Linked DNA regions of Macaca mulatta. Each later gene encodes a partner of the first gene's protein in a complex. Links are inferred from orthologs where the notes say so. Each region holds a gene or a part of one and is shown on either strand. Other genes may lie near its edges. The genes, in order: BAK1, BNIP5 and PXT1.

Evidence for each region.
Region 2: the proteins of BAK1 (region 1) and BNIP5 are in contact, whole or in part, in a crystal structure (PDB 8IGC), measured with the Homo sapiens proteins. The link is inferred for Macaca mulatta from reciprocal best matches to the Homo sapiens genes BAK1 and BNIP5. Residues at the interface, in NP_001179.1 of Homo sapiens: Leu78, Ile81, Gly82, Ile85, Tyr89, Glu92, Phe93, Met96, His99, Leu100, Tyr110, Lys113, Ile114, Ser117, Leu118, Ser121, Asn124, Trp125, Gly126, Arg127, Val129, Ala130, Phe134, Ala180, Leu183; in NP_001010903.3 of Homo sapiens: Ile246, Ile247, Gln248, Met249, Ile250, Val251, Leu253, Leu254, Lys255, Arg256, Val257, Gly258, Asp259, Gln260, Trp261, Glu262, Glu264, Gln265, Ser266.
Region 3: the proteins of BAK1 (region 1) and PXT1 are in contact, whole or in part, in a crystal structure (PDB 8GSV), measured with the Homo sapiens proteins. The link is inferred for Macaca mulatta from reciprocal best matches to the Homo sapiens genes BAK1 and PXT1. Residues at the interface, in NP_001179.1 of Homo sapiens: Ile81, Gly82, Asp84, Ile85, Asn86, Arg88, Tyr89, Glu92, Phe93, Met96, Leu97, His99, Leu100, Tyr110, Lys113, Ile114, Ser117, Leu118, Glu120, Ser121, Asn124, Trp125, Gly126, Arg127, Val129, Ala130, Phe134, Asn182; in NP_694535.2 of Homo sapiens: Ile78, Ile79, His80, Lys81, Leu82, Ala83, Met84, Gln85, Leu86, Arg87, His88, Ile89, Gly90, Asp91, Asn92, Ile93, Asp94, Arg96, Met97.

Annotation. Positions count from the first base shown.
Region 1 is NC_133409.1:148,704,907-148,709,227, forward strand, and holds the start of BAK1 (bcl-2 homologous antagonist/killer), read left to right. Parts: upstream 1-1,497; 5' UTR 1,498-1,711; exon of another isoform or gene 1,712-2,387; intron 2,388-3,000; exon of another isoform or gene 3,001-3,077; intron 3,078-3,768; exon of another isoform or gene 3,769-3,919; intron 3,920-3,924; exon of another isoform or gene 3,925-4,080; 5' UTR 4,081-4,111; coding exon 4,112-4,181; intron 4,182-4,321. UniProt on the Homo sapiens protein: Plays a role in the mitochondrial apoptotic process. Upon arrival of cell death signals, promotes mitochondrial outer membrane (MOM) permeabilization by oligomerizing to form pores within the MOM.
Region 2 is NC_133409.1:145,923,841-145,927,483, forward strand, and holds part of BNIP5 (protein BNIP5), read left to right. Parts: coding exon 1-460; intron 461-1,976; coding exon 1,977-2,093; intron 2,094-3,579; coding exon 3,580-3,643.
Region 3 is NC_133409.1:145,857,511-145,861,153, forward strand, and holds part of PXT1 (peroxisomal testis-specific protein 1), read left to right. Parts: intron 1-794; coding exon 795-925; intron 926-3,643.

The DNA.
Region 1 (4,321 bases):
CCTTTTTTGTTGTTGTTGTTGAGACAGGGTCTTGCTCTGTCACCCAGGCTGGAATGCAGTGGTGCAAACATGGCTCACTGCAGCCTCAACTTCCTCAGCTCAGGTGATCCTCCTGCCTCAGTATCCTAGGTAGCTGGGACCACCACACGCACAGGTGTGAACCACCATACCCAGCTAGTTTTTAATTTTTTTTTCTGTAGAGACATGGTCTCCCTTTGTTGCCCAGGCTGGTCTTGAACTCCTGGGGTCAAGTAATCCTCCCACCTCGGCCTTCCAAAGTGTTGGGATTACAGGCGTGAGCCACCGTGCCCGGCCTCTATTGAGTTTTAATCTCCGTTTACTTCACTATCACCTTCAGGATTTCAGATCTCCAGAGACCACCAAGGTGCATGGTGCACAGGTCTGAATTGCAGGTTGAATCTCAATTTAGTATTAGTATTCCCCAACGCGACTACAGAACTGATTTTTTTTTTTTTTTTTTTTTTTGAGACGGAGTCTGGCTCTGTTGCCCAGGCTGGAGTGCAGTGGCTGGATCTCAGCTCACTGCAAGCCCCGCCTCCCGGGTTCACGCCATTCTCCTGCCTCAGCCTCCCGAGTAGCTGGGAGTACAGGCAACCGCCACCTCGCCCGGCTAATTTTTTTTGTATTTTAGTAGAGATGGGGTTTCACCGTGTTAGCCAGTATGGTCTCGATCTCCTGACCTCATGATCCGCCCGTCTCGGCCTCCCAAAGTGCTGGGATTACAGGCTTGAGCCACCGCGCCCGGCCCGAACTGATTATTACTATTTTTTTTTTTTTTTTTTTTTTTTTTTGAGATGGAGTCTTGCACCGTCCCCCGGGCTAGAGTCCAATGGTGCGATCCTGGCTCACTGCAACCTCCGCCTCCCGGGTTCAAGCGATTCTCCTGCCTCAGACTTCTAAGTAGCTGGGATTACAGGCACCCGCCCACCACGCCCAGCTGATTTTGTTAGCCAGAATGGTCTCAATCTCTTGACCTAGTGATCCGCCCGCCTCAGCCTCCCCAAGTGCTGGGATTACAGGCATGAGCCACCACGCCCGGCCCAGAACTGATTATTAACCCAGCTCAGTGACCTTTAGAGAGCACCTTAAACCAGCTGAGCCTCTGTTTGTTCATCTGAATGGGTATTGTCAACAGCACTCACTTACAAGAGTTGTTGAGAAGATCCAACGAGACAATAGTTGCTAAAGTGCCAGGCATGCAGCAGTGCTTAAGAAACTTCTCACCCTGGGTTTTTTATTGGTATTGATTGATGTAGAGATGGGGGAGAAGATCAAAGACAAGGATTGAGAATCAGGGATGGGAAAAGCAGTGGGCCACTGACAGCCGCTCTGCCTGGCTGGGAGGTGGGGTGGGGAAAGTGGGCGGGAGCTGCTCCTGGGCCTGGCCCACCCAGATCACCCCTCCGGGCTGCAGGCCTGTGCGTCTGCATCCGGTGGCCACAGAGCAACTTCCTCTAGAGGGAGCTGATTGGAGCCGGTTGCCGCTGGCACCTCTATGATCACTGGAGTCTCGCGGGTCCCTCGGCAGCACAGGGACAAGCAAAGGCTACATCCAGATGCCAGGAATGCACTGACGCCTGTTCCTGGAAGCCGAGCTCCCACTCAGCCCCTGGGAGCAGCAGCCGCCAGCCCCTCGGGACCTCTCTCTCTGCCCTGCTGAGCCACCCGGGTTGGGCCAGGATCCTGGCAGGTAAGCTGGAAGGGTCCTGCCCGTCCTCCCAAATCTCAGCAGCCCCAGCCCCAGGGTGGGGCAGGGAGCCTGCCAGGAGCCGGGTGGGGAAGGGGAAGCTCAAAGCTTACCTGGGCAGGTCCGCCTGCCCGGCTGGGGACCTGATCGTGGCAAGCCTACTTCTGGCTGCCCCTCACAGCTTCCCCTCTTGCCCCAGCCCTGGATGCCGGAGAACTGTGAGAACTGGGTCCTTTAACAGTCTGGGAGATGGGGGTGGAGGTCAGAGCCAAGGTCAAGGGCAGAGAGAGAACTTTCTCAGCGCTTCCTGCTGCCCAACATCCCTAGACTGGGTCCAGGGCCTGGCCAGGCATGTATCCCTGGGGAACATTCATCAGGGCCCAGCAAGCCCAGGAAGTCGGGGGTGGCTCCCCTCACCGGGAATTTAGGCCACTTGGATTGGGGGACAGAGCTAGGCCTGAGTCAGCATAGGTTGCTGGCCTTGGGGGGTGTCCTGAGGCTCTACCTGCTCCCCTCAGGAGCCTGGGTTGTTGGTAGAGGGAGTTGGGGGTGCCGTCAGCATCCTCTGGCCCTACTGTCCTGAGGGTGCTGGGTTCTGGAGACTGGGGAAGAAGGAAGGCCATCTTATTTAAGGAGCTCCGGGGGGGTGGGGGTTTTATTTTTTGTTTTTTGAGACAGAGTCTCACTCTGTTGCCCAGGGTCGAGTGCAGTGGCGCGATTTCGGCTCACTGCAACCTCTGCCTCCCAGGTTCAACCGATTCTCCTGCCTCAGCCTCCCGAGTAGTTGGGACTACAGGCGTGCGCCACCATGCCCAGCTAATTTTTGTATTTTTAGTAGAGACGGCGTTTCATTATGTTGGCCAGGCTGGTCTTGAACTCCTGACCTCGTGGGCCACTGTGCCCGGCTGCAAAGTTCTGTTTTAACAAGGCCTTGCCCCTAGAGGTGGAGGAAAGGAGAGTCTGCCTTCGCCCTGTCCGTGTCCGGCAGAGCAAGGAGTGGGGAGCTGGGTGAGGGCACAGGTGGTCCAGTCCTCCTCCACCCCTTCTCGAGAGCTCTTGGGGCAGTTTCGAAAACACTCCCAGGCCTAGCGGAAGGAGGGTGGGCGAAGGTCCCCAGGCCCTGGGCGGTGGGGGTGGGGCTGTGTGCTTGGCCCAGGGTGGGGCTGCACACCCCCTCCCTCTGAGATAGGAGGAGGGCGCTTTCCTTCTGAGGGCCGGAGGGTGCCTGGGGAAATGGGGCTCTGGGAGGGGTGCAAACTGAAAGTGAAACAGCTGACATCCAGGAAACGCCCTGATGAGGGGTCACAGCACGTTGGTGCTGCGGTCAGGACCAGGCAAAGAGGAAAGTTGGCTGGGGACAGAAGACTAGGTGTGTGGTGGGAATACGAGGCAGGTTGTGGGGCTTCGAAGAAGGCCCTGATCCTGAGGGCTCCCTCCGGTCACTGCAAGGCAGGGGTGAGGAAGGCACAGGCAGGAGGTAAACAGGGAAAGTTGCCCTGAGAAGGGACACCCTCTGAGGTCCACAAACAAGAAGAAATCTTAAATGCTTGTTGAGTACATGGACTCATGGAGATTCAGACAAACAACCCGACTTTCCGTCACTAATGATGTGACCTCGGGCACTCAACTCTTTATGCCTCACTTTTCCAGGCTGCAAAGTGGGTATGATGGTGCTCACCCTGCTGGGTTCATGTGAGTTTTCAATGTTCAACACCCAGAGTGCTCCTAAGTGGGAGAGTATATCTTAGGCTCTCAGGAAATGTTTGCGGCTAACAGCCCAGAGTTAAAAAACAGGTGTGTTCTGACCAGCCAGAGGGAAGTAGGGCCTCTGAGGGCAGCCTTCATGGGCCATTGGCTGGGCAGTGGCTCGCTTGCAATAAGCATGTGCTAGGTGGGCTGCAGGAGGCCCCAGGAACAGCTAAAACCCCCCAGGCTCTTGCCCCAGGAGTGGTATGAGCTTGAGAGCCAGCGGGCACTGCTGCAGCCACACTCTCCTCGAGGGTGCAGATACCTCAGTCTGCCCTTGGCTGCCTCACCTTCTTACCCTGTCTCCCTCGAAGGGTCACCAGTGAAGTGCTCAGAAGTTGTTTCCTCCCAGCAGACTTCACTGGGACCCATGCTGGAGTGAGAATAAAAAGTCCCAGAGGAAGCCAGGCACAGTGGCTCACACCCGTAATCCCAGCACTTTGGAAAGCAGAGGCAGACTCACAGGTCAGGAGTTTGAGACCAGCCTGGCCAAAGTCCCAGAGGACTGAGGGCCTTTCTGGGAATGGGGAACCCTCTCTCCTATGTGGACATGGCAACCTGTCTGGGGTCCCCAGTCACAGGTCCATGCTCACCCCATCTCTGCTTTTTCTCGCCCATCCCCGCAGGCTGACCCCGTCCTCCACTGAGACCTGAAAAATGGCTTCGGGACAAGGCCCAGGTCCTCCCAGGCAGGAATGCGGAGAGCCTGCCCTGCCCTCTGCTTCTGGTAAGGGTCTTCCTGCCCCTCACCCATCCCATAACCATGAGTGCTGTCATAAGGATGGAAGGAGCAGGACTCAGAGGCAGGCTCCTTCACCTCGGTTCACCCACTGTGGGTGGGAACCCACGGGCTCAGAGGCTGAAGCT
Region 2 (3,643 bases), about 2.8 Mb from region 1:
GCGACCAGTGATTGGGCCAGACATTCAGACAGCCCAGCTCCGTCTGCTGAGGCTCACTGCACCACCACTGCAGCCCCCACTCCCGAGGAGACTGGAGAGTTTCTCCCCAGTGAGCAGAGGCCTTCGCAAGACACCAAGAAGGGGTGGCTGAAGACCGTGCTGAACTTCTTCGTGAGGACGGGCCCTGAGGAGCCCAGAGAAAAGGCCAGCAGGAGGCCAAGGGGGAAGGAGGGCCTCTCCCAGCCTCTGGAGCCCCTGGAAGCAGCAGGGGAGCCAGCCCTCAGGAAGAGAGCCCACCACGACAAGAAGGCCGGTCGCAAGAAGCAAGGTCACAAGAAACATGCAGCCGAGGTGACTAAAGCAGCTCAAGACCAGGATGCCAGAGGCCAAGAGGAAGGGTTGTCCAAGGCGGCTGCTGCCTCACGCTCTGGGGAGGCTGACCTGGGCCCAGCTCGCAGGGGTGAGTGGACCGTGCCTGTTCCTGTGGAAACCCCTAGGGTGCTCTAAACTTGCTCCAGGAGCCTCTCCACAGAGTGACAAGAATAGTCAGGGGCCGCACCGCTGTGACTTCCTTCCTTCCTTCGTTCCTTCCTTCTTTCCTCCCTCCCTCTCTCCCTCCCTCCCTCCGAACCACTGTGAATCCCTCCCTCCCTCCTTCCCTCTCTCCCTCTTTTCCTTCCTTCCTTCCTCCCTCCCTCCCTCCCTCCGCACCGCTGTGAATCCCTCCCTCCTTCCTTCCTTCCTTCCTTCCTTCCTTCCTTCCTTCCTTCCTTCCTCTCCTCCTCCTTCTTCCTCCTCTCTTTCTTTCTCTCTCTCTTCCATTCTTTATCTCTTCCTTTCTTGCTTGCTTGCTTTTTTTTTTTTTTTTTTTTTTTTTTTTGACGGAGTCTCTGTCTGTCCCCCAGGCTGGAGTGCAGTGACGCAATCTCAGCTCACTGCAAGCTCTGCCTCCCAGGTTCACGACGTTCTCCTGCCTCAGCCTCCCGAGTAGCTGGGACTACAGGCACCCGCCACCATGCCTGACTAATTTTGTATTTTTTAGTGGAGATGGTTTCACCATGTTGGCCAGGCTGGTCTTGAACTCCTGGACTCAAGTGATCCACGGGCCGTGGCCCCCCAGCATGCTGGGATTACAGGTGTGAACCACCACGCCTGGCCCACTGTGACATTTCTTTGAGGTAGAACAGCACCACGGCTGAGCGCTCCAGGGAAAACCACTCGCCCACTCTCAGTGCCGCCGTTCACAAGCTGTGTGGCCCAGGGAGGCAGGTTTCCTCGCTGAGCCTCAACTTTTTTCATGGATAAAATGAAGATAAGTAGTTACTGTCTCATGGAGTGGCCACAGCCCACAAGGAAAGTGCTCAGTGCACAATAGCTGTTACTGCCAACTCCTCTAGTTTCAGGAGCACAGACCTAGGAGAAATGAGAAGGCAGGGAGTCAGGCGAGGAGGGAAGCCCTACTCCCACCCCACTGGTGCCTGTGTGCTTCTGGGCTGCTGCTTCCAGGTCTTGGTTCTAGACTTGGCTCCATCAGGAGTAAACTTGCTGTGTGACCTTGAGCTTGAGCTGCTCCCTCTGGAACTTTTGATTCCCCGCAGGTAAATGAGGGTGCTGGCTCCCAAGGTGCCTTCCTATTCTGCCTCGCAAGGCTCTGGAGCTGAATGCCCACTGGCACCTAGAGGGAGGGGGGCTCTGCCTCGTGGCACTCAAAACTCGGTGTTTATGATGGGGAGAAGATTGAGGGTTTGCGGGGAGGGGGTTAGCAAGAGAGGTGTCTTGGTGGAAGTAGCCTCTTCTCAGATAAAAACCTTGGTGGGTTTCTGGTTTTTTGGTTAGGCCTGGAGCAGGCTGCAGCAGTGCCTGTCGCACTGTGAATTCTGTGCTGTTTTCTCGTGTTGATGAACAAAGTCGGGAGAACGTCACTGACACACGCACATACACACCTACATACCCGTTTGCTTTCGTCTCTATTCCAGGTGGGGAAGATTCTGATTGCCACTCCTTCCTCATCAAAGTGGATGGTGCTGGAGCTTTGGATGTTTCTCCCCACGCCACAGGTCACCAGCAAGAAGAGGAGCTCAAAAAGCCTGATAGTGAGTCGGAATCTCTAGTGACCTTTTTGCCTCTGACTGAGGTGGCTATTACTGAATGAGACGGATTGTTCTGAATGATTACTGAGACCTTGGATAGTGGCTCTCAAAATACATGCACTGGCCTTTCTTGCCTCTTTTGGTGCTTCTGGCCACGTTTGCTTATTTTAGAATTTCACAGAAGGGAGGCTAGGGAATTGGAAAGGCTGCTGGCAAATGCTTCTGCCTTATGTGTTAATGAAAATGGAACTTTTCTTAGTCTTTTAAAATGTATTTTACTTTAAAAAATATATAGAAGAGTGAAAAGTATAGTTCAATGCTTTGTATACTCAGTTGTTTACACTCTGCCAGTTTGCTTTGTGTGCGTATCATTTTGTTGCTGAATCATTTTGGAGTAAACCATGTTCATCCCTAAATACTTAAACATGCATCTCCAAAAAATAAGTACAGTCTCACACAAAACCACAATACCATGAGTGCTCCTAATAAATCGAGAATAATCCCCTATTCGTCTAATTCCCTGTAAAAAAAGATGAGCATATTTTATAACATGTGAAATGAAGGAGCTATGCATGTGTCAAAGAATAACTAAAAGGCATTGAGTTAGTTATTTTGCAGCTAATTGTTTTCTTACATGAGAGGGAACCAGCTGGTAGCTGAGTCAAGCAACAAAAGCCAAACAATTTATAAGTGAGGGAAGTGAGAGAGGGAAGTTAGGAGTAAAAAAAAAAAAAAAAAAGCAAACCCACAGATAGCCTCAGAACAGGGAACCTTGTTTGCATCTCTTTTCATGTAAACTCATCAGCTGGTACCTATCAGAGGACAGTGTGGGCACATTGTCCTTGAAAAGGCTGACCGGAGTATCAAAGGAAACCATTTCCATTGTCAGTGGCTTCTCTGTGCAGAGATGGGGGTGTGGCTGAGGCATCAGCGTGGCAGGCTCTCTCTGTGTCATCCCTGCTGATGTCCTTTCATCCTCCACCTTAGTGAGGCCAGGTATCCACCATTTTCCCACTGGAATTTTGCAGGTTGGAAGATCAGCATTAGCCTTGCAAAGTGTTCTCAAGCCCAGTCCCTCATATGACAGCCTGACAGCCTTCTGGGGGAGGCAGGACACAGATTATGACCCACATTTCACTGGGAGCGATAAAGGCCCAGAGAGGTTAAGAAACTTATTCAAGGTCACACAGCTTACTGAACCCAAAGTAGATGTTCTGAGATCTGTGACTTTCAAAGGAAACAGTGGGGCACAAGTTGAATGCCTAAAGGGCTGACCTGAAATGTCTTGCATGAAGTGTCATGGTTTGGCTCAGTGCCTTCCCCGTGGATCTTCCAGCCTTCTCTCAGAAGGACCTGCCCCTGGGATGTGGTGCTTTCCCTCCATTGTGTGGCCTAAAGAGTTGTTGAAGAGAACTGTCCAAGACAGTAATTTAGAAGGAGTTGTCTGTGCATTTAGAAAGAATAACTGGATGCATTTGCTTTCTTCCAGAGGATGCTATCATTCAGATGATTGTGGAATTGCTCAAAAGAGTGGGAGACCAGTGGGAAGAAGA
Region 3 (3,643 bases), about 2.8 Mb from region 1:
CGTCTGGCCTGAATCTACTTTTTAAACTGTCAACTTCATGAAATCTAAGTATAGATCAAGATTTTCCGGTGAAAAGTTAGCATCTAAATTGAGGTGTCCTGTAAGTACAAAATAAACACTGAATTTCAAAGACTTAGGTATAATTTTAAAATGCAAAATACATCATTAATCATTTTATATTGATTAATGTTATAATTATGATATTTTGGATATATTGATTTAGGTAAAATAAATTACTAAAATTAATTTTACCTGATTTTACTGCTAGAAAATTTAAAATTACATGTGTGGCTTGAATTATATTTCTATTGGAGAGAGCTGACCTATTCCAATAGATAGGCTTTGCTTTTTGATAATTATTGTAAGAACTGAATTTCAACTCTCTCTTTTTTTTTTTTTTTTTTTTTTTTTGAGATGGAGTTTTACTCTTGTCACCCAGACTGGAGTGCAATGGTGCAATCTTGGCTCACTGCAACCTCTGCCTCCTGGGTTCAAGTGATTCTCCTGCCTCAGCCTCCCGAGTAGCAGGGATTACAGGTGCCCGCCACCATGTCCAGCTAATTTTTTGTAGTTTTAGTAGAGATTGGGTTTCACTATGTTGACCAGGCTGGTCTTGAACTCTTGACCTCAAGTGATCTACCCACCTTGGCCTCCTAAAGTGCTGGGATTACAGGCATGAGCCATTGCACCCAGCCCACCCTCTCATTTTCTAAGACAGTTTTTAGTAACTAGTGGTGATTTTACAGATAATTAAGTAGGATTATCTCTTTTGAACTCTTTTTTTCTCAATGCAGATCATAATCTACCTTCTCAGCCCAAGGAGCATAGCATTGGTCAGAAGCATCACCAGGAGGAAATAATTCACAAGTTGGCCATGCAGCTGAGACACATTGGGGACAGTATTGATCATAGGATGGTTCGAGAGGTGAGGCTTCAGTTTCCCCAGCCAGGGCCTGTCAGGTAGGAGGAAAGAGCAAACAAAACCACAGCTGCCAAGTGTCTGAGATGCCCAGGAATTATCAGAATTAATGGATTAATACTGTCTGGATTACCACATATTAGATCTAAATATTGTGAACCTGAGCCAAAGCTGGCATTTAATCTCATACTTGTTACTCAGACTGTGGTCTGTGGACTGGCAGCATCAGCATCACTTGGTTAGATGTGTAAGATCTGAGACTCCAGCCCACACAATCAGAATCAGAATCTACCTTTTTATGCATTCCTCAGGGGATTTGTGTGATCACATGCGCTCTGTGACAGACGGGGTGGCGGACCCCTCAGAGCCCAGTTTCTTGCTCTTAGATTCAACTATCCTGTGAAGCTTTCTTGGTGCAGCTTCCACCATGCTGTCCTCCACCATGCATGCCACAGGGAGTGCCGTGTCCTCTTTTATACTCAGGTCCAAATGTGGACAACACACAGCCTTTTCCTCAGATAAAACATCCTGGAGACAAAACATGGATGGGAGATCCCAACAATAATGCTATAAAAGCAAGAGGGGGCTCATGCCTGTAATCCCAGCACTTTGGGAGGCCAAGGTGGGCAGATCACTTGAGGTCAGGAGTTCGAGACCAGCCTGGCCAACATGTTGAAACCCCATCTCTACTGAAAAACACAAAAATTAGTCAGGCATGGTGGCACACACCTATAGTCCCAGCTACTCGGGAGGCTGAGGCAGGAGAATCTCTTAAATCTGGGAGGCAGACGTTGCAGTGAGCCGAGATTGTGCCACTGCACTCCAGCCTGGGTGACAGAGTGAGACTCTGTCCCAAAAAATAAAAATAAAATAAAATAAAGCAAGAGAGAAATAAAGAGAAAATAAACATAGAGAACATAGGCAATCAAATAAATATTTGATAGGCCAATTTCATTCCAACAAATATTTATTGAATGCCAGACTCAGTTCCACGCATTGGTGGCTACAGCAGTGAGCAGCAGTCTCATAGAAATGATGTGGGGAGGGAGCAGATAACAAGGCAGATGAACGGTAAACAGCCAAGTCAGACAGGGATGTGAGCTCCAAGCAGGATCAGGGCACACTGATTGATGGAGAGTGACTTCCAATAGGCTGTCGGGGAAGGCGTCTCTGGGAAGGTGATATTTAAGCAGATACTGGAAATGAGGGAGCTAGCCATGGGAACACCTGGAGTGGGAAAGTGTTCCAGGCAGAGGGAACAGCCAGTGCAAAGCCCGGCCCCACCAATCTACGTTGTGTCTCTGTGGATTTGTCTATTCTGGACATTTTATATAAGTGGAGTAACACAATATGGAACTTTGTGTATGGCTTCTTTCACTTAACATACTTTTTTCAAGGCTTATCCATGTTGTAGCATGTATCAGTATTTTACTTTTTACAGTTGAATATTCTATTGTACAGATATGCCGCATTTTGCTTATCCATTCACCAGTGGTTGGACATTTGGGTTGTTTCCACTTTGTGGCTGTTATGAATAATGATGCTATGAACATTTGTATATAAGTTTTTGTGTAGAAATGTTTTTAATTCTTTTGGGTACATACCTAGGAATGGAATTGCTGGGTCATGTGACATCTCTGTGTTTCACTTTTTGAGGAACTTTCAGACTGTTTTCCAAGGTGGCTACACTATTATACACTGTGGTCCACCAGCAGAGTATGAGGGTTCCAGTTTCTACACATCTTTGCCAACATTTGTTATTAACTATCTTTTTGATTATCGCCATCCTAGTGGGTATGAAGTGTATCTCATTGTGTTTTTGATTTGCATTTCTCTGATGAATAATATGCATCTTTACATATGCTTATTGGTCATTTTTCTCTTTGAAGAAATGTCTATTCATATCCTTGCCCATTTTAATTGACTACTTATCTTTTCATCATTATATGAGTCTTTTTTTTTTTTTTTTTTTTGAGGCAGGTTCTTGCTCTGTTGCCTAGTCTGGAGTGCAGTGCTGTGACCATAGCTCACACAGCCTTGAACTCCTGGGTTCAATTGATCCTCCACCTCAGCCTCCTGAGTTGCTGGGACCACAGGCACGTGCCACCACACCTGGCTAATTTTTTAATTTTTATTTTATTTTATTTTTTTGTAGAGACAGGGCCTCACTATGTTGTCCAGGCTGGTCCTGGATTCCTGGGCTCAAATGATCTTCCTGCCTTGGCCTAGGAGTCATTTGTATATTCTGGATGTAAGTTTCTTATCAGATATATGATTTGCAAATATTATATCCCATTCCGTAGGTTGTCCTTTTACTTTATTGATAGCGTTCTTTGAAGTACAAAAGTTTTAAATTTTGATGAAGTTCAATGTATCTACTTTTCTTTTTGTTGCTAGTGCTTTTGCTTTGGGTGTCACATTTATGTTTTCTTCTAAAGGCTTTTTAGTTTTAGTTGTTAAATTTAGGTCTTTGATCCATTTGAAATTAATTTTTGCATACATTTTAGTTAAGAGTCTGTCTTCCTTTTTTTGCATATGGATATCCTGTTGTCCCAACATCATTTGGATTTTGTTGTTGTTTGTTTATTTGTTTGAGACGGGGTCTTGTTATGCTGCCCAGACTGGCCTCAAACTCCTGGGCTCAAGAGATCCTCCCACCTCAACCTCCCGAGTAGCTGGGACTATAGGTACATCTCACTGTGTCTGGAGTACCATTTGTTGAAA